Linked DNA regions of Arabidopsis thaliana. The protein of the gene in region 4 interacts with the protein of the main gene of each other region in a pairwise test. Each region holds a gene or a part of one and is shown on either strand. Other genes may lie near its edges.

Evidence for each region.
Region 1: the proteins of AT2G22880 (region 4) and AT1G28280 interact in a two-hybrid assay, tested with the Arabidopsis thaliana proteins (one study listed by BioGRID).
Region 2: the proteins of AT2G22880 (region 4) and AT2G42140 interact in a two-hybrid assay, tested with the Arabidopsis thaliana proteins (one study listed by BioGRID).
Region 3: the proteins of AT2G22880 (region 4) and AT1G78410 interact in a two-hybrid assay, tested with the Arabidopsis thaliana proteins (one study listed by BioGRID).

What each region holds. Positions count from the first base shown.
Region 1 is NC_003070.9:9,885,296-9,890,040, forward strand, and holds AT1G28280 (VQ motif-containing protein), read right to left. Parts: upstream 2,184-4,745; 5' UTR 2,101-2,183; coding exon 1,357-2,100; 3' UTR 1,016-1,356; coding exon of another isoform or gene 1,002-1,015; 3' UTR 782-1,001; downstream 1-781. Other genes in the region: AGP31 (arabinogalactan protein 31), read right to left, coding at 4,036-4,346.
Region 2 is NC_003071.7:17,567,550-17,572,059, forward strand, and holds AT2G42140 (VQ motif-containing protein), read right to left. Parts: upstream 2,121-4,510; 5' UTR 1,934-2,120; coding exon 1,415-1,933; 3' UTR 1,128-1,414; downstream 1-1,127. Other genes in the region: AT2G42130 (Plastid-lipid associated protein PAP / fibrillin family protein), read left to right, coding at 1-43, 127-179, 275-367. UniProt on the Arabidopsis thaliana protein: May function as positive regulator of plant growth.
Region 3 is NC_003070.9:29,499,979-29,504,720, forward strand, and holds AT1G78410 (VQ motif-containing protein), read left to right. Parts: upstream 1-2,603; 5' UTR 2,604-2,749; coding exon 2,750-3,076; 3' UTR 3,077-3,520; intron 3,521-3,755; 3' UTR 3,756-3,960; downstream 3,961-4,742. UniProt on the Arabidopsis thaliana protein: May modulate WRKY transcription factor activities.
Region 4 is NC_003071.7:9,740,314-9,744,165, forward strand, and holds AT2G22880 (VQ motif-containing protein), read right to left. Parts: upstream 1,151-3,852; coding exon 806-1,150; downstream 1-805. Other genes in the region: EMB2001 (P-loop containing nucleoside triphosphate hydrolases superfamily protein), read left to right, coding at 149-311, 399-608; AT2G22890 (Kua-ubiquitin conjugating enzyme hybrid localization domain-containing protein), read right to left, coding at 2,187-3,026.

The DNA.
Region 1 (4,745 bases), on a different chromosome or scaffold from region 4:
GGGTAAGATTTGATCAATAGTACATATATATTCACAAAAGAGTGGAAAAGTTAAAAATAAAATAAAATTTAGGATATTATTTTTTGTTTTATAAAGAGAGAAATTTTAAAAATAGGTCAACTTCTCAATAGCACCAATAGTGGAAATGGGGCCCACACTTCAACTCTCTTCACATGAGAATTTTTTTTGTTTAGAGAGAGAAGAGATAATAGATCCGGTCCACCATGAGAAGATTGAGTCAAGTTTAATTTAATTTTTAGTCTTCGAAGACCATTCAATGATAAATACTAACATAATTAAAGTGTTAATTATTTCTTTTGACCACGTCCATTTTGTGTAACCAATTAAAACACCTAATTTTTGAAAGTTTCCAACAAGCCTAATTTTACTCTAAACAAAAAAACCTTTGACCAAGAAATATTCAAAAGATAAAAATCATATGGGGCCAATTTAGCATATGCCCATTACCTCAATCCATATGCCACTAAGTCCACCTTCAACTATATTTTAAAACGAAACACTCAAAACATAATTTTTTACCCCAAGATATTATTAGACCCAATAGTGACCACAACCAAAACTTGTACTCTAATGTATCCAAAACCACAATTTTTTGTTCTTGTTACGGTTAAAAACAAACAATATCATTATCATTCATTAGGCCACAAATATAGGTAAAAGCGGTCAAATCTCTAAAAACCCTATCATCAAATCATGAATTCAAAGAAAATATAGTCAAAAGATTCCTTACCTCTTAATTAATACTCTCTCTTTTAGACAGCTAAGCCCCACTCTTTATCTTCCTTCTATCCAATTTACTCTTTTCTTTCTTTTTTTCAATTTCGTATTCTCCTTTTTCTAAGGAGAAAATATGAAAATAATAATAACAAGAAAAAAATCTCTTTTATTTTCCACACTCCTTTTTCTTTTTGTTTACCCTTTCATCAATCCTTAGCAAAAAAAGGTTGGACCAATTTGGTTCCCTCTAAAGACCAATCTCTTCATCTTTTGTTTACTGAAAAAAAACAAATGTAGAATGCAACTAATTGTGTGTTTATGGAAATAAAATAGAATAGAAACAAAAAACAATTTGCTCATTTCACTAAAATTGTACAAAACTCACTGAATTATTATCAGTACTAATCTAATTTATCAAATTCTGCAGAATAAACTCATCAATATTAAACCATTAATACAATTGAAATCGCGAATTGGATTTAGCAAACATCTCAACATTACAAATTTTCTCGTATAATTCTCAACATGATTCATCTCAATTCCCCAATTATAATATATAATTAAGATCACAAAAGGATAATAAAAATTTGAGTAAAAAAGAAAAATTAGGTCTTTTTTTCAAGAAGTAGAAGCTGATGAAGAACCTGAGACTCTAGGAGAAGTCACCGGGAATAGAGGAAGAAGTCGAGGCTCTGGATCCATCGGAGTTGTTGCCGGAGATGGATGCAAATAAAAGCCTCTCTCTTTCATTGCTTTCTCCTCCGCAGCAAGCTCGTTGGGGCTTTGGTTTGATGACCCGGATCGATCAAACGGGTCGGGTATAAGAGGCGTAACCGGGCTGAGAACGAGAGATGGGAAATCTAAGATGCTTGGAGAGAGGATCTCCGGTTTACGGGGAGAGAAAGCTGAATTAACCGGGTTAAAAACCGGGTTTAAAGGATTGATTTTGAGATTCTTCATTGAATTACGACGCTCGTAGAGACGAAACCCTGATGCTGAAGAAGAAGACTGTTTCTTGTTAGGTACGGCTTTGATTGGTGGGATTGAGAAAGAAGAAGGAGTGGATCTTGGGTCGGGTTGATGATGGGTCGGGTTTGGTTTGAGAGATGAACCGTGTTTGGGTCTCTCGGCGGATCCGGTTAGCATCTGGACGACTTGTTTGAAGGAAGAAGTATCTGCTTGGACGAATGTTGTCGGGTACGGGTTACCGGATTCGGATCTTGTGGTTACGTGTCGGGTCGGAGTTGTTGGTGGTTTGTTACTTTCACTGCTACTGCTCATACCGCAACTGTTGTTGCTGTTGTGACATCTCGGCGACGGAATCAGATTCGTCGCTTCTCTGTATCTCGGTGAATTCTCCATTGTAAGAGAAGAGAGCTTTTAGAGAGAGAGAGAGAGAGAGAGAGAGAGAGAGAGAGAGAGAGAGAGAGAAACTGTGTTTTGTTTTTGAGTTTAATAAGCTTTGTGTTTTGGTTCGGTAAGAAAATGTTTTCGGTGGGCGCTATTGGCTCTTTAGTCTTTTTTCTAGTTTCTTTAGGTCTTTGCTCACGCGCTGATTTAGAGAGTGCGTGTCACGCGCCGTCGTTGAAAGTGGGAGGAAAAATGTGCTCTATTTGGTTTTAGTCTTGGCAATAAATGATAGAGGTAGAGATAATTTACCCAAAGAACATTGAATATCATGAGAGGAAAATGTTGAACTCAATAAGCAATGATGGTTTAGATGACTAGGACGTTTATGTGACCTTTTGGTCAATAGAATTAATATAACTCGAAATGAATGTTATGGTAAGTTGATTTATCTACGTGTCGTCGTGATATATATATTCAACCAAGAAATGCTTATCTTGGAAGTAATCTAATCATTGGGTTTTAGTCGTTTGACTAAGTGAACTTAACATATGTGGAGAGATGTTGGGCTTTAATAGTTTTTTGGGCCTTATATTTATTGAAAATCTATGTGTACTTAGGTTGTTGCTTTACTTGTTGCCAAACGGGTTCGGTGTGGGTTAAGAAACCGAGCCCAGTTAGTGTTCATTTATTTGGGCCATGTATTATATATAGTTTATATTTTCACATTGGTGTTATCAAACTATGGAGTATCGATGACATATTCATTATTCAATACGTTAGATGTTTGAATTTTGATGCTAGAATTTAGGCTTGAGATTCAAAACCTTCTTCCTTTTCACTCTTACGATTTTTGGTGAAATGCTTTTATCCAAATAGTCAATACTAGAAATGATCAAACCTTATGAATCTCTCATGGATAGATATTTGATCTCGTGTCTGTTCAAAGAAGAAAATAAGAGTGAAGTTAGAAAAGATTCACACCGCAATATACAATTTCGATAATTAAACAGGTGATCAACACTTTCATCAAATTAGCTTCTTCTCAATGCGACTAAATTCTTCTTTGCTTCATAAAAAACTGAATTATAGTGACAAGGAGAAGTTGTAAAAAAAATCAATCATGATACTGTTACTAGTTTACGCCAAGTGAGTGTGTACAACATACTTTTTCTATTGACCCGAAATGTAGAGGCCTAATTAACCAATGCATAACAACCCGGTTAACATTTTTAAGAGAGCACGTGAGAAGCTTTATGAGCTAAGGAGAATCTTGATCCATGACACCCTATAAAATATTTTTTTTTTTTTAAATGTACAATCGCTTAATCGTCCCGCCACAACCCATAAACTCTTCTTGAATCTTGTTTAACACTTTTTGTTAAAACTGTTTTTTATTAATATCTTGAATTATTATTTGTCCTTTGTAACTTTGAGATTGTGATGGGAAATAATGTCAGCCCCGTGGCCGACAATTACGCAGCTGATTTTTCTCCGTATTCAAGAACAGACTAGAAACCCTATTCGATGAGTCCCCCTTCCCATCGAGCTTTTCACCCTTCTTTGTAATCATTTTTTTTTTTGTCTGCAGCGTAACTATTTTTATCATTTTTATTTGATCAAACAAAAAAGATATACAAGTTGAGAAAGAAAATAATATTCAAGTTATTCATTTAGTTACACATTCTAATTGTAAGATTCTATAGTTAACATTCATTTTGCTCATTCGTTTTGTAATGTAATGGAATCATCTTGAAAGCTGCTATTTTTATTCAAACGAAACTCAAACGACGTCACTTAAAGAGATACAACATAATACCCAAGCATTTAACTTAAAGACTAGCTAACATTGATTAAAATTCAACCGTACAGTAGACGCATAACAACACTCTCTCTCAATCTTTTTAAACATGAAACAATCAAGATAGTAACCAGAGCATCAAATCATCTTCATTTGGGGCAAGACGGGTTAAAGGCAAATGGACCAACGTTAAAGAGACCGTATACGAGCTTGTTGACGACCACCGTAGATTTTCCCAGCTTTTTCTCAGGCTTAAGTTCAGCGCCGACATCTCCACCGAAGAGCTTTGAGACTTTGCTGCATTTGTAGTCCTTTGATTTCACCAAATACACACGACATCCTCTGAAACCGAAGTTCGTCACCGTCTTAGGAGCCAACAACAAGAAGTATCCGTTCTTGTCTGTCGTCGTCTCCGCTGTTATGTTCTTCTTGCTCTTACACACTAGTTTCACCGTAGCACCTGCACAAACCCATAAAAAAATATTAGTCCGATATGTTTATAGAATAAAAGGATATAGTTATGTGTTTTTAATTATTTTTGTGGGAAGTAGTGAAATTTATTGGCCAGACTGTAAAAAACAGTGACTGATGAGTGCAGAAGTGTACATAGTCACTCTCTTTATTTCACACCTATTTTCGAAACATTGACTACTTACGTAACAAAGGTCCCACTTGTAACGTTTTCAAATTTGAATTATTTTCTGAAATATGCGTCATGATTAAGATATGAAGTACGTATTATTTTATAGATATATACACTGTTTGAATGCGTATGCAGAGCCAAGTTGAGTTGTTTGAGAGATTGTTACTGAGGTATGTCTCATGTATGAGTGAATAAACTGAATAATGAAGTGGAAGA
Region 2 (4,510 bases), 7.8 Mb from region 4:
CTTATCAAGGATACTCTAGCCAGTGGTCTGAGAATTCCCCTTAGTAAGCTACTTTATCCATTTTTTATACATTTAACCATTTTCCGCTCAAATCTGCACTGAACCAACTAGTGATGTTTGCTTCAGGTGGATCCTTTGAAAGATTTTTCATGATATCTTATCTAGATGAAGAGATTCTTGTAAGTTTGTTGAATATTTTGTTAAGAATGGTGAGAGAGACTGAGATCGTTGCACTAACCGAGTTTTATCCGCTTTTGGTTGTTTTTTCTCGTAGATAGTAAGAGATACCGAAGGAGTGCCTGAAGTTCTAACGAGGATAGAAACACCATCATCGACCGTTGTAGAAACTATCGAATATGATAGTTAGATGTGACTAGCCATTGTTCTTGTTCTTGTTCCTATGTTCTCTGTGTGTTATATTACAAGAACCAACCACCAAGTTGGTGTCTGTAAATGTATGACGTTAATAACTTGAGGGTCATCTCCATACATCAAAACCCCTTCCTTCTTTTGTGTTCGCTCGGCAAATCTTCTCAAGTTATCCAAGTACTTGCAGATTCTCTGTTTTGATCATCTTAATAAACTCTTTCTATGTAAGAGGCAGCTCAGATTTAATATTTTTCTTAGTTGATTTATAATGCCAACTTGATCAAATATGAATACATGATGCGGGTTATCTTTTGATGTGTCATGTGTAGTTCCATCATCATCATGCATCATCACCATCACCACCGTGACACACATGCATATATACACGTTTGTAATTGTGGTTACTTGTCGGCTCATATCTGTAATTTTAAAATATTATATTTGTTATCTTGATTAATTATGGTCCCATTTGTACTTATCTTATGTTAAGTATCAGTCAATCGATCAATAAGTCTATTTCTCAGTCCATTTGGATAAGCGAGAAAAACACATCGCAAGTGAGGAAAAAAGTATACATAGAATTTCTAAACGTCCATTATATTCAGATAGTGTTAGTTAATTACGCTATAGCCAATCCCAATGATATTTTGTTATAGATTTTCATAATCCTTACATATTTAATAAGGATTTTCTTGGTAAAAAGTTTGCGAAATTCTATTTGTGATTTATCATTATTATAATGTGGATTTGAATTATATAGATTTATAAAATTTCATACCTACTTACTAGATTATAGTGTAATCATATAAAAAATACAAAACCAGAGGGAAAAAATTATGCAGAAATAGAACTCGTAATAATCGTAAACCCGAACCTCCCACGATTCCACAAGAATATTGTCTAGAAAGTCAAACATTTCAATTATCGAAAAAAACAAAAATTAGCTTCTAGAAAGTATATAAAAGAAGAAAACAAAAAATTATTAAAAGTTTTAACCTATTTTAAAGAAATAAAATGTTTAAAAGATTCTTCCGCTTGAGACGTTTTAGGCGTAATGGTGAGGTTCTGCGAAAACGTTGCCATGTAAGTGGGAGGAAGAAGCAACGGCAGGGTCAATGGTGAAGGGTAAATAAGGAAATTCACCTAGCTCCTGAATGAAGCCGTCGAGATCTCCTAACCCGTTCAAGAACCCACCGGAGCTCTCGTCACCATTTCCGTTCCACGTCATCGACACCATCCCTTCTTCCTCTTCATCTGAGTTTATGCAAAATCCATGGCTCTTGTTCATGTCATGGACTTCATGATGATCATGACTTCTTCTAGATCTAGGGTTTCTTTTGAGACCCTTTTGGTGGGGGAGATCGTGGTGATGATGATCTTGTTTCCCGGTGAGATTCTGGACGATTTCCCGGAAGTTGGCGACATCGGTCTTAATGATCTCCGGTGCGAATATGTGAATGATTCGGATCTTAGGTTTAGATTTGGTGAGTGTTCTTGACTGTTTGTGCATGGCTATTGTTGGTAAGCTTCTTCTTTTCTGAACAGTAGTAGCTTCAATTTCCATAGTTTTGTAGAAGAATAAAAATTAGGGTTTATGTGATCAGAAGAGAGAGTTGGTGATTTTTTTTGGTAAGTGAAATGTGATAAGGTTAAGGTTATATAGGAGAAAAGATAGAAGAAAATGGTAAAGAAAAATCAACTATTTTAGATGTACAAGTTTTAGTGACAACTAGGTAATATATGTTTAATCCTTTTCCTTTTCTTTTTCTTTTTTGTCAACTCGTATTTCTAGTTTATATCGTAGCAGAACGTAAAGATCCTGAATATATTATTAATAAAGGCAAATAATATTGATTGATGTCTTGTTGAGATTCAATAGATAAACTATAGTTTGAATAATTAACATACAATATGAGATTACACTTATATTGAATATTGATGAAAGAGATGTGTCAGGCTGTCTCCGAAGACATGAGATTTATGAATCCAAAGGAAGTCCAGGGACCCCTCCAACTATAACAAAATCCTCGTTTTGGAATGTCTTAAGACATTAATTCATTATATTTTTAGCATATTGTAATTTAGTATCATTGATATTAAATTTTTGTGGTCAGAGATCCACGTACGATATTGCATGTAATTTGTAATCGTTTTCGCATTCATACAAGTAAATGTGTACACATGGTGTAAAAACGATACAATATTAAAGTTGGAGTTTATATAATTCATGAAGGTGACACATACAATATTTCCAATTGAAATGTATTTTTTATCTCAACATAGTCGAAATAAAGTAAAAGTTGTCATTAGTATATTTGGCAATGTGTGTTTAGTTAAGGTATTACGCATAAATCCAGGTGGCTTCAATTAAATAAATGCCTATAGGATTGCAGAAACTTGTCCCCATGTAATGTACACAAACTCAACCACCTTATCATTTGCAATCTCTAAAGTTCAACATAAAAATACAATTTGTGTGGACCACTACCAACACTTTTTATAATCTATGATTACAGCCTTAACAACGAGAATCTCAGATAGTACATGTTTAACTAAACTAAATTGGATGACATAATTTGAAAGAATTATATATGCAAGGTGTAAATTTAACGTATAGACATGTCTTGATAATTAAGAACCACAAATGTCACAGCTAGTGGTATATATAAAACTAAATTTTAAATACGTATATATGTGTGTGAAATGTCATGATAGGTTAATAACCATTTAAACGAACTTATGAATAGTAACAAGACGAACTTATGAAATGAACTTGTGAAATGTCATGAGAGGTTAATAACCATTTAAACGAACTTATGAATAGTAACAAGACATGAAAAGATAAGAATTAATGTACACTTTATCACCAAAAAAAGGAAGATAAGATTGTACGAAATCGGACGTAATAATGTAAGGACATGGAAATGGCATGACCCTCGGGTGCACGAGGCAGTTCCACTTCCTGACGACTCTCCATTTTACTTGGTTTACTTTTATCTTATCTCTTTTCCTTTTTACCTTGCGAATCAAATTGACCTTTTAACAAATTCAATTCCTAAGTGTTTTTGTACAATATTTGTGAATTATAATGTGTAGTGTATGTCTATGCTTGTTTGATTTTCTAACGCTTGTTGGATATAAGAAACAATTATCTTGAAATCTCTACAGTACTTATCACATCCAAACACACTATATAATATATTGGACAAGCGATACACTGTCTTATACAAAACAAACCAATCACAAACAAATAGAAAACAATACATCTGTTTCGAGTCAAGTAACGTCCTATATATTTTATATAGAAAGTATAAATATACACACACTAGTTGAAAAACTTGAACAAGAACATGTTAGAGGGCATACATATATCATTCTTACTAACAAGAGATGTTTTGTATAATTAAGCCAAGACTTTCTAATATTATATTTGTGTGGTATAGATATCATACCAACAATTGAACTAGAATAAGCAATATATTTACCATACTATATCTTGTTTACCTAAGATTTAAAACGGATAATAGCCATCGGATGTACATGTACACGTGAAGAGTTGGGATATGAAAGAAATCCAAAGGCTGAGAAAAAGAAAGAGAGGTGAAACTCCAATGAAAGAATTGGGTTTGTATACGGAAACACGAGTCTTGTGCTCTCTTTTGGATCCGGACCACACGAGCGGCTAAAGAAGCAATGTTGTCAAAAACGTTAGAGCCGTATGGGTTATGGGCCCCACCATCTCTTTACTTGACGTGGTTCCCAGTTCCAAACTTGTGTTGTGTATATATCTTGTTTGGCTGGCAATTAATTTTTGAAAATTTTAATTCGATTTCTGAGGACAAAAGTGGTTGCTGATTAATCAACTAATCCAAATTTGCACAATGCTAATTCAACACTCGTGCTGCATTAGGTGAAAACTTATTCACACTGGGAAACCTGCCTTTTTATATAGTATAGATTGTTTCTCATGATTATTGTTGATTAATTAAAACATTTTTTAAAAATTAGTGTTGCAAAAGAAAACTAATCTTATATGTTGTTTTATTATATGAATGTAGATGCGGATATATGATTGAGTCCCACATGCTAACACGTATTGTTCCCTGCTGGGGAAGAAGGAAATCAAAATCATGGGAGAATT
Region 3 (4,742 bases), on a different chromosome or scaffold from region 4:
AGAATAATAGTATATAAGGTAAACTGTTCCAATCTTGTCGAACAATTTGTGGATCAAAATTATCAATAAATTGCTTCTGTACGGATCGATCAGTGTTTTCGCAGTAATTTAGGTTTCGAATTACAACAACCAAATTGGATCGGTTACCAAAAACAAGTTGTACATACCATAGATAGCATGGAAAATATCACACCCGTATTAAATATTTGAATTAAAACCACTAAAAAGTTGTTTATAAGTGTATAGTTGTGTTAGGGCTTGGATAATTTATGTGGGCAATTTGGGTCTGAATAACTTTTTAGATTAGCCCATGTAGCATAACACCCACCCAACAGAACACGCCACCAAACACCCATATTTTATTTGGGAAATATGGGCTTCACTTTTGTAACAAACCCAATAACTTGTGCTACATGGGCTGGGCTAATCTCAAGACACAACTCTACACGATGTAACAAGCTAAACTCATAGTTTCGAATCTGATTGGAATTTAATTTTGTAAAGTAAAATATTACGGATTGTTTAAAAAAAAGAAATTGATCTTCGGTGAATTTTTATCTGCTATAAAAACAGAACAATAGTTAATTACTTACTTATATTCATTCAAAGTTAAATTCCAAAATGCTGAAACTCAAATGGACATAACTTACCCCAGTCGAAATAGTTAACTATATATTACCGGCGGTAAAAGCTGAGATAAAATAACTAATCTGTTCAAACTTTGTATATACTTAATTTCAAAGGCGATCAAATAAAAAACAGTCAGGTTCCTGAGTCAAGATTTGTAGTCAAAACCTTACTCTGATCCGTTATAGCCAAACTTGACTTTCCCTTTGTATGTTCATCAGTCTATTAATATTGATATCAAAACTGTACGTACAATAACGTACTGCACCAAATTTTATCAACAAACAAAAAATAGACTATACATAATTACGTATCAACTTCTAAAAGTTGTAGTGTAGTGATAAATGATAACGGATTGATTTGTATTTACCTTAAGGCTTAAACTGATCCATATATAATTTTATTCTTCATATGAAAATTTTGGTAAAGCCAATATAATTTTTGTGTGGTTGGTAACAACTGAAAATAATTAGGGCTATCGCAAAAGTACAACCGTACAATGAACTAATTTGCAATTTCTGAGAAGAATTTTGTTAGTGAAAGTCTGAGTCAACAAAACAAAAATTCAGGGAATTGAATGAATGATTGGGTCCCTTTATGAAACTCCCCATGAAACATCGTATGTAACTATCAGTGACTTCTTGTGCATCATGCTGAACTTCTAATCTCTTTTTTTTTTTTTTTTTTCTAATCTCTTTTAAATAGTAAAATCTACAAAAATATGATCCATTACTCATTTATATCAATATTTAAAATAAAATAAAATCTATATATCAATATAATTCAAGATGCAAACATTTAAAATTTACCTTACAATGATGTGAGTATATGTTACCTCCTATTTTTTATGTTTTAAACCGTATAAAATTTTCATATGCTGTTGGCTGTGGAAAAAGGGAAAACATGGTTATTAACTAAAAGCCCCATTTGGGATGTTTTGATTAGAAATTTTTATCTTGAAAAAATAAACTAAAGCCATTAGTGTTTTCTTTGTCGATGGAAAAAAAAGACATCACCTTTTGAAGAAAAAAATGACATCACCTTACTATTTTCTAGAAGCATAATCAAAGACGATTATATTTTGTCATAACGAAATAGTGTGGGGGGACGTGCAAAATTCTACTCACGTGTAAATACTTGGTAAGTTTTCAGTAGTTTTTTCTTAGGCTGTTTCACGTGATGTAACAGGATTTCATCAAAGAAGGCGTGCTTTGACCCAATCTAATGAAAATACACTATGATTTTTGGTAATTTTAATACTTTTGATGGTGATAGTGATATATAAATTTTAATGTTTGGTCCTTCAAGGCTGCTAGATTTTATTAACGGTCAACATGTCTTAATGATCAAAGGTCCTATCTATGCACAAAGCCATGTGCTTTTCGATTGATCTCAGTAAATGTTGAATGATTGTTGCTTTGTATAACAAATAGTTACCTTGTTTAATATTCTCAACAATAGGTTATAAAAATAATTATATGTAGTTAATCTTTGATTTTAAATAATTACTATTAAGTTATTTTCTTGCAGTTTCAAAATTGTTTTAAGTTTACCGTTGCTGTTAAATTCTAAAGAATATACAGAATGCAGTAATTGTTTCATCAACAGATGTATAAAAAGTCTTTAATTAGTCAAAAAAATTCTTCATTCATAAAATTCATTGGTAAGCATTTCTAGACTAGAGCCGTAAATATTTTCGGCCAATATAATAATTAGGAAAATATTTATTAGGAATTCAACGAATATGATAAAAAACGTTGGTCGTCGAAAATGTATCATGACGTCAGGAAGAAAAAAAACAAGAAAAAAATAGGTCGTCACATATGTTTTCATGTAGGACAAGATTACGATTATAAAATCGTTTCAAAAAGAATACGAAAAAATTTACTTGAATGAGTCACTTCAGTACCCCACAGAGATTATATCTTTCTCTCTTTAATCTCTCTATAAATACCTAAGTATGCAACTATGCATATAAATCTACAAAACATCTGAACACCCAAAGACACAGGAAGAGAGCTAAAGCTGATATATACTAAGTACTAAGATCATTTGATCAACCTAATCATCAACACCACAAAATTTTCTTTTCTTGTTTCTCTAATCGATTAATTTAGTAATAATGTCTGGAAGAGGGAAAGTGAAATCGGAGCCGATGAAGGTTGTGTTCATTAACACACAGTATGTTGAGACAGATGCTCGTAGCTTCAAGACCGTTGTTCAAGAACTCACCGGTAAGAACGCCATCGTCGCCGCCGGTCCTTTTGATTCGCCCTCTGCTTTCGACGGCCGTTGTTACGATGGCGGTAGTAAAATCGGTGAAGATACCAGACAGCTCCACGGCGGTGGCGGCGGAGGAGGACGAATGGGGACGACGACGGAGTTCGATAGATTATTCAAAGAGATGCCTCACATGGAAGAATTGTATAAACTATGGTCAGAATATTGAGTCATTAATAATTTCTGTGCAATGATTTTTAAATCATTCGTTTTCTTCCAAAATCTTTTCTTTTTTATCTAATGAGATAATGTTGTTGTTGATTTGATTTAATCATCTTAACTGGATCGTCACTCTTGAGATTAGGTCCAATAACGAATGTTGTGTTTTGGAAAGTAATTATGAGTTACCTTTCAGTACGGCCCATGTCTCCGAATTTTAAACGGGCTTATTATAGCTTTCATATGTTGTTTAAAAGGACCATGAAGCCCAAGTATATGCGAGATTAATACTTGGTTCTCTTATTTTCTGTGTATTTGGGTTTTAGAACCAATTATCAAAACAAGAAGTGTGAGTGTGTGACAAAGGCATTGAAAGCGACTAGCAGATTAAGAAGTCAGGCCTCAACTATGGGCTTTTCTCTATGGGGCGTCTTTGCTACCCAAGTCCAACTAGGTATTACTTTTTTTTCCATATTTTTTATATATTTATATTTCATGTTTTTCTTTTCTTGCAAAATAATGTTTTTAACTAAAAGAATTTTGATTTCACTAAAATTAGTAATTTCACTAAAAACTGTTTAATTCTTGTGACTATTTCACAATTTTTAGAATCCAACATGCGATACAGTTCACAACAACCAAATGAAGCATTATATGAACTAATCTTCTTGTGTTTATATATAAAACAGGTTTTTGTGTAAGTGCGTAAATGGCTGAGGCAAATAGCAACAAAACTCATGGTTAACCTTCTCTAACCAACCTTAACCAATTTTGTGTTGGGTGAACCATTTCCTTTCATCAACCCAAAACACACTCACGATTTTAATCGTCTCATCTACAATTCTTGTTTTATTTAACGTTCTTTCTTAATCTAGCTTTCTGGTAGTTATTTTCAGGGTTTTTTCTGGTATATAGTTGGGTTGATTCAACGATTATCCGAAACATTATACGTCAACATACAATACAAGTCTATTAAAAATTATTAGCTAATAGAAGTAGAACCTACTAAGCTATATTGTCGTCAACAAGAACCATTTTTAAATTCAATTAAATATAACATTAACGCCGACTAATCTAGTTTATGAAATATCACCAAAACTTTGAACACATAATGAGTCTCGTAACACACCAAAGATACTAACTTCTTTATTTTTTTCCATTAATAAATTTGATGGTAAATTACGAATATTGGACTATACAATTATGCAAATGCGACAAACAAAGATACAATTAAAGAATAAAATGTTAAAAAAGACATTATTCTGATCCAACTCGGTGCTTAAGACAAAACCGCCTTCACAAGATTTCGTATATTCTAATCCTTTTTTGGTCAACAAACAAAAAAAAACATAAATAAACGTAACGACGTCGTTTTACACGAAAATGAAAAACACACGCGAAGAAAGAAGCGCGTGGAGAGGAAGAAAGAAGCAAAGAGTTGGATTCTTTGGCTCGTCTCTTACTCCATCGTTTCCTGTTCCCTTTTAGCTTCTCCACATCATCACCATCTCTCTCTCTCTCTCTCTCTCTCTCTCTCTCTTCTGAGATTTTTCCGTCGAAATATTAAAAAGAAATTTGCAGATACAGAACTTGTTCTAATCTCTCTCTGTTTTTTTTCCCTATGAATTTTATATAATACGAAAGAGACACACAACACTGTATTATCTTTGCTTCTC
Region 4 (3,852 bases):
GTAAATTTAGTAAGGTGGTTCCGAACCGAACCGGTTGAGTTGGCTAACTCGGTTTGAACTGATACATAGTGGATTTGGATATGTATTTGTTGATATCTTGCTTTCAGATAAACGTTATTATTGTTTGATGTTGAGAATATATTTGCAGATTTGCTAAAGTTTCAGATGCTGCGAAAACAGATTGGTCTGCGTTTACTAAAGGTTACTTCTTGAATAGAGACAGTCTTGTTTGTGTTCTACTTCTCATCGATGCAAGTGTTCCTCCTCAGAAGATTGATCTTGATTGTGCTAATTGGCTTGGTCGCAACAATGTATGTGGTACCAATTCTGGCTTTTGTGTGTTCAGTGAAATGTTGCTTTGAGGACTTGTTAAATGACGTTTTTCGATGATTTTTCAGGTACCGATGACTTTCGTGTTTACGAAATGCGATAAAATGAAAGCAACGAAAGGGAAAAGACCTGATGAGAACATTAAAGCTTTCCAACAAATCATTAGAGAGAATTTTAAAGTACATCCTCCTTGGATTTTGACGAGTAGTGTATCTGGTTTAGGCAGAGACGAGCTTCTTCTTCACATGTCGCAGCTGAGAAACTACTGGGATCAATAGGTAGCGCGTAAATTTCGTAAACAAATGTTCGAAAAGGTCGGTTTTGAATCATTGGTTATATCAAATTGTAGTTTTGTAATGTAACAGTAACTTTTGTATTTAAAGATAAGATCATAAAGTGTTACTACTACAGTTCTAATTCTGATGAAACAAATTCATGAATTGCCGAAAAATTGGCAAGAATAGCTTCTTTCTTGCTACCATCTTGATAGATTAGCAGGACTAAGCAGAGGGAAAGCTTCCCAGAACCGAGATGACGAAGGTGAAAGATCAAACGCGAACGGATTATCCTTAGCTGTTGTTGTATCATCAGAAATCTTGACTGGTTTAGCTTCAACTTGATGTACCTCTTGCTCAACGTCTTCTGCACCAGTTAGCCTCTGAACTAACTCCTTGAAGTTAACAGGCTCGACTCTGTAAACTTTAGGATGCATCCTCTGAGGCAAGCCCGTTACGGGTTTTTTCCATGGCTTTGCCGGTTGCTTACGGGTCGAATGAAGTGAGGAGTTATGAGAGAAACATGGTTGTGAAGTAGCTTCCATGACGATCAGAAGTTTCTGTAATACACAAATGATTTGAAGCGAAGTGTCTTACCTTGATGGCTTTGTGTGTACACATATAAGTATTTATAAGTGTGTGGACGGCATTATTATGTCAACGTTTTGAAGCGTGTAAGTCATTTTGGGTTTTATGATCTTCTTTTGCGGCTTACTTGGTTTTTGACTTTTAAGTGAAATGAATGGGAACGAGATGGGATGATTCATGGAATTGAAATGTCAACGTGGGTGTGCTAACTATTTTTATTTTCTTGTTTATTTAAATGTTAGGTGAAAAGCAATGAGTACATTTTTGGATTAACGTAGTTTTTGTTAAAAAATAATCTAGATGACATGGCAACGGTGTCATTAGTAACATGGCATTCATGTCATCATTATCATCAAATATGTGGTATCTAACGTCAGCAGAATATATAATTTTGCATATAATTTGATAAATTAGGTATGTAATTTAATTTTATTTAAAAGATTAAGTATATATTAACGCATAAGAAATTATTAGATATAAATTAAACATTTGAACTTTGGTTGGGTGGTATGAAATAAGGTTGTGCCTTAATTAGTTACCTTCCGTTAGGATCCTGAAAACTGTTTAGGTCCACAACTACACAATATAACAAGCAAACAAAACTTTTGCTTCCGAGTGTCAGAGTAAAAGCAATAATGTAAAGAGATATCTCGATAAGTGATGAGACTCAATTATCCGCATAGAAAAAAAAAATATGTATAACGGAGAAAGATATCCTATCTACAAACCTTGAATATCACTTTCCATACAATGCAAACATTTTAGAAATTGTTACATTTACCCAAAAATGATATATTAAACTTATCAAATCTATCACAATTGTGATCTACATGTTTTTAAGTAAAAGAAAACATTTGGTTTTTGACATATTATATCTTAAACTAAATATAAATTAATCTCGAAGCCGCGGCTAAAAAATCGAGTTTTTCCCACTTAAAGCGAAGAATATAGCTAAAAGTGACGGCTAACATTTGGATATGTCGGTTTCTTCCGTCATTCGTAGTTTGGCTCGGTCCATGACCTCGGTCTCACCCCAAGTTGGATATACAACACCATCTCCATTGCCTTAAAGACATTGCTTTCATCCAAAACCTTGTTCCACACCCCACTCACTACGCAGTAATTGTTGTTATACGGTGCTCGGTGATGATTCATGTGATGTATCCGTGAAACAAGAAGCCCAATGTCTTGCAACCCAACCACAAGAGGTGGAAGCTTGCTCTTCGTTCCATGAGCCCAAGCATGGAACAACTGACAAAACAATACACAAAATGCAAACATGCTTACAAAGCCATGAACCACATGGTCATCAAAAGCAAGGTCTAGTGGGAGAACTATCAAGGTTGTGCCTCGAGCCATAAAATGTAGATTGTTTGCAAATTGCCGTTTGGTGATTGTCCATGGACACTTGTGATGATCTTGAGAGTCTTCGATATGGATTCCTACTAGAGGCGTAGACTCATCACCGTAGTTATCGGTGGCCCAGTGGTACACACCAGAACCTAGATCTGCTAAGATATACCCGGCGAAACCGGCTAAAGATGGTTCGAGCCAGAGATGAGAACCAAATGCTCCAATGATTGATTTGGAAAAAGAGACAAACACGGTGGTGCAGCCAGCTGCAACCCATAACCGGTGAGTCCATGTAGATTGTAGAGTTGGGTCGTTGGAGAGAGGAGGATTCACAAGTCGTTGCTCAACAACAAGCTTCATCTCATGGTTAGGCTGAGAGTTGGTGGTGGAAGTGACACGGAGAAACGATGGACGGTGGCTTCTTGGGATGTTGTTTGTGATGGGATTTAGAGTGTATTTGGTTTGAAGAGATGTAGCCATTGAAGCAGAGTATGTGATGTCTGAAAAGATATATCAAGTTTCTTGTTTTTTTTTCCAAAGCTAAATAAAACAAGGATATGTTTTTTTTTGTGACAGGATAAAAAAATCATTTAAAAGAGATAATTTTGACCAAAGAAAGTAAGAGAGTATTGAGATAATAACATTCAAAGAAAATCTCAAAAAATTTGGATTAATTTATGAAGTTACCAACTAAAACCTAACATTAAAAAGTATTATTAAACCCAAAATTACTCGTTAATACAGATTTCTATATATATTTATTTTTTCTTTAGAGAAAACTTTAGGAATAAAAAAACATTTACTTGGAGATGCGTTAAAACAAAAATAAAATATTCACTTGGTTTAGAGATATGAATTGGGTATATAATCAAGGAAATATCAACCACCATCAAAGGAACCAAATCACCAAAAGCATATAGAGTTCTTCATAACCACACACACACATATTAGGATGACAAGCTAATCCAATACATTATCTCTGGTTTTGATTAGGAAGAAGATTTTAAATGCATTTTCCAAGAATCCCATAAATAAGTTCAAGTGCCACCAAAGGCGTTTTATTACAAACCATAAAATAGAAGATTACAAACACAAAAGAGGTTCGTGTATAACTCATATGACATATTTCATTACAAACATAAATGTTTCCCATATAATTGGAGAAATTGTGAGAGATGTGTTCAACAAGTACTTACGGTGACTACTCTACTTGTTTCCACAACACTTAGTTCGTGAACCACAATAATATGTCCAATCACCAATCTCACTCAGCATAAATTACTATGGAAAAAACAAATTCTTAAAA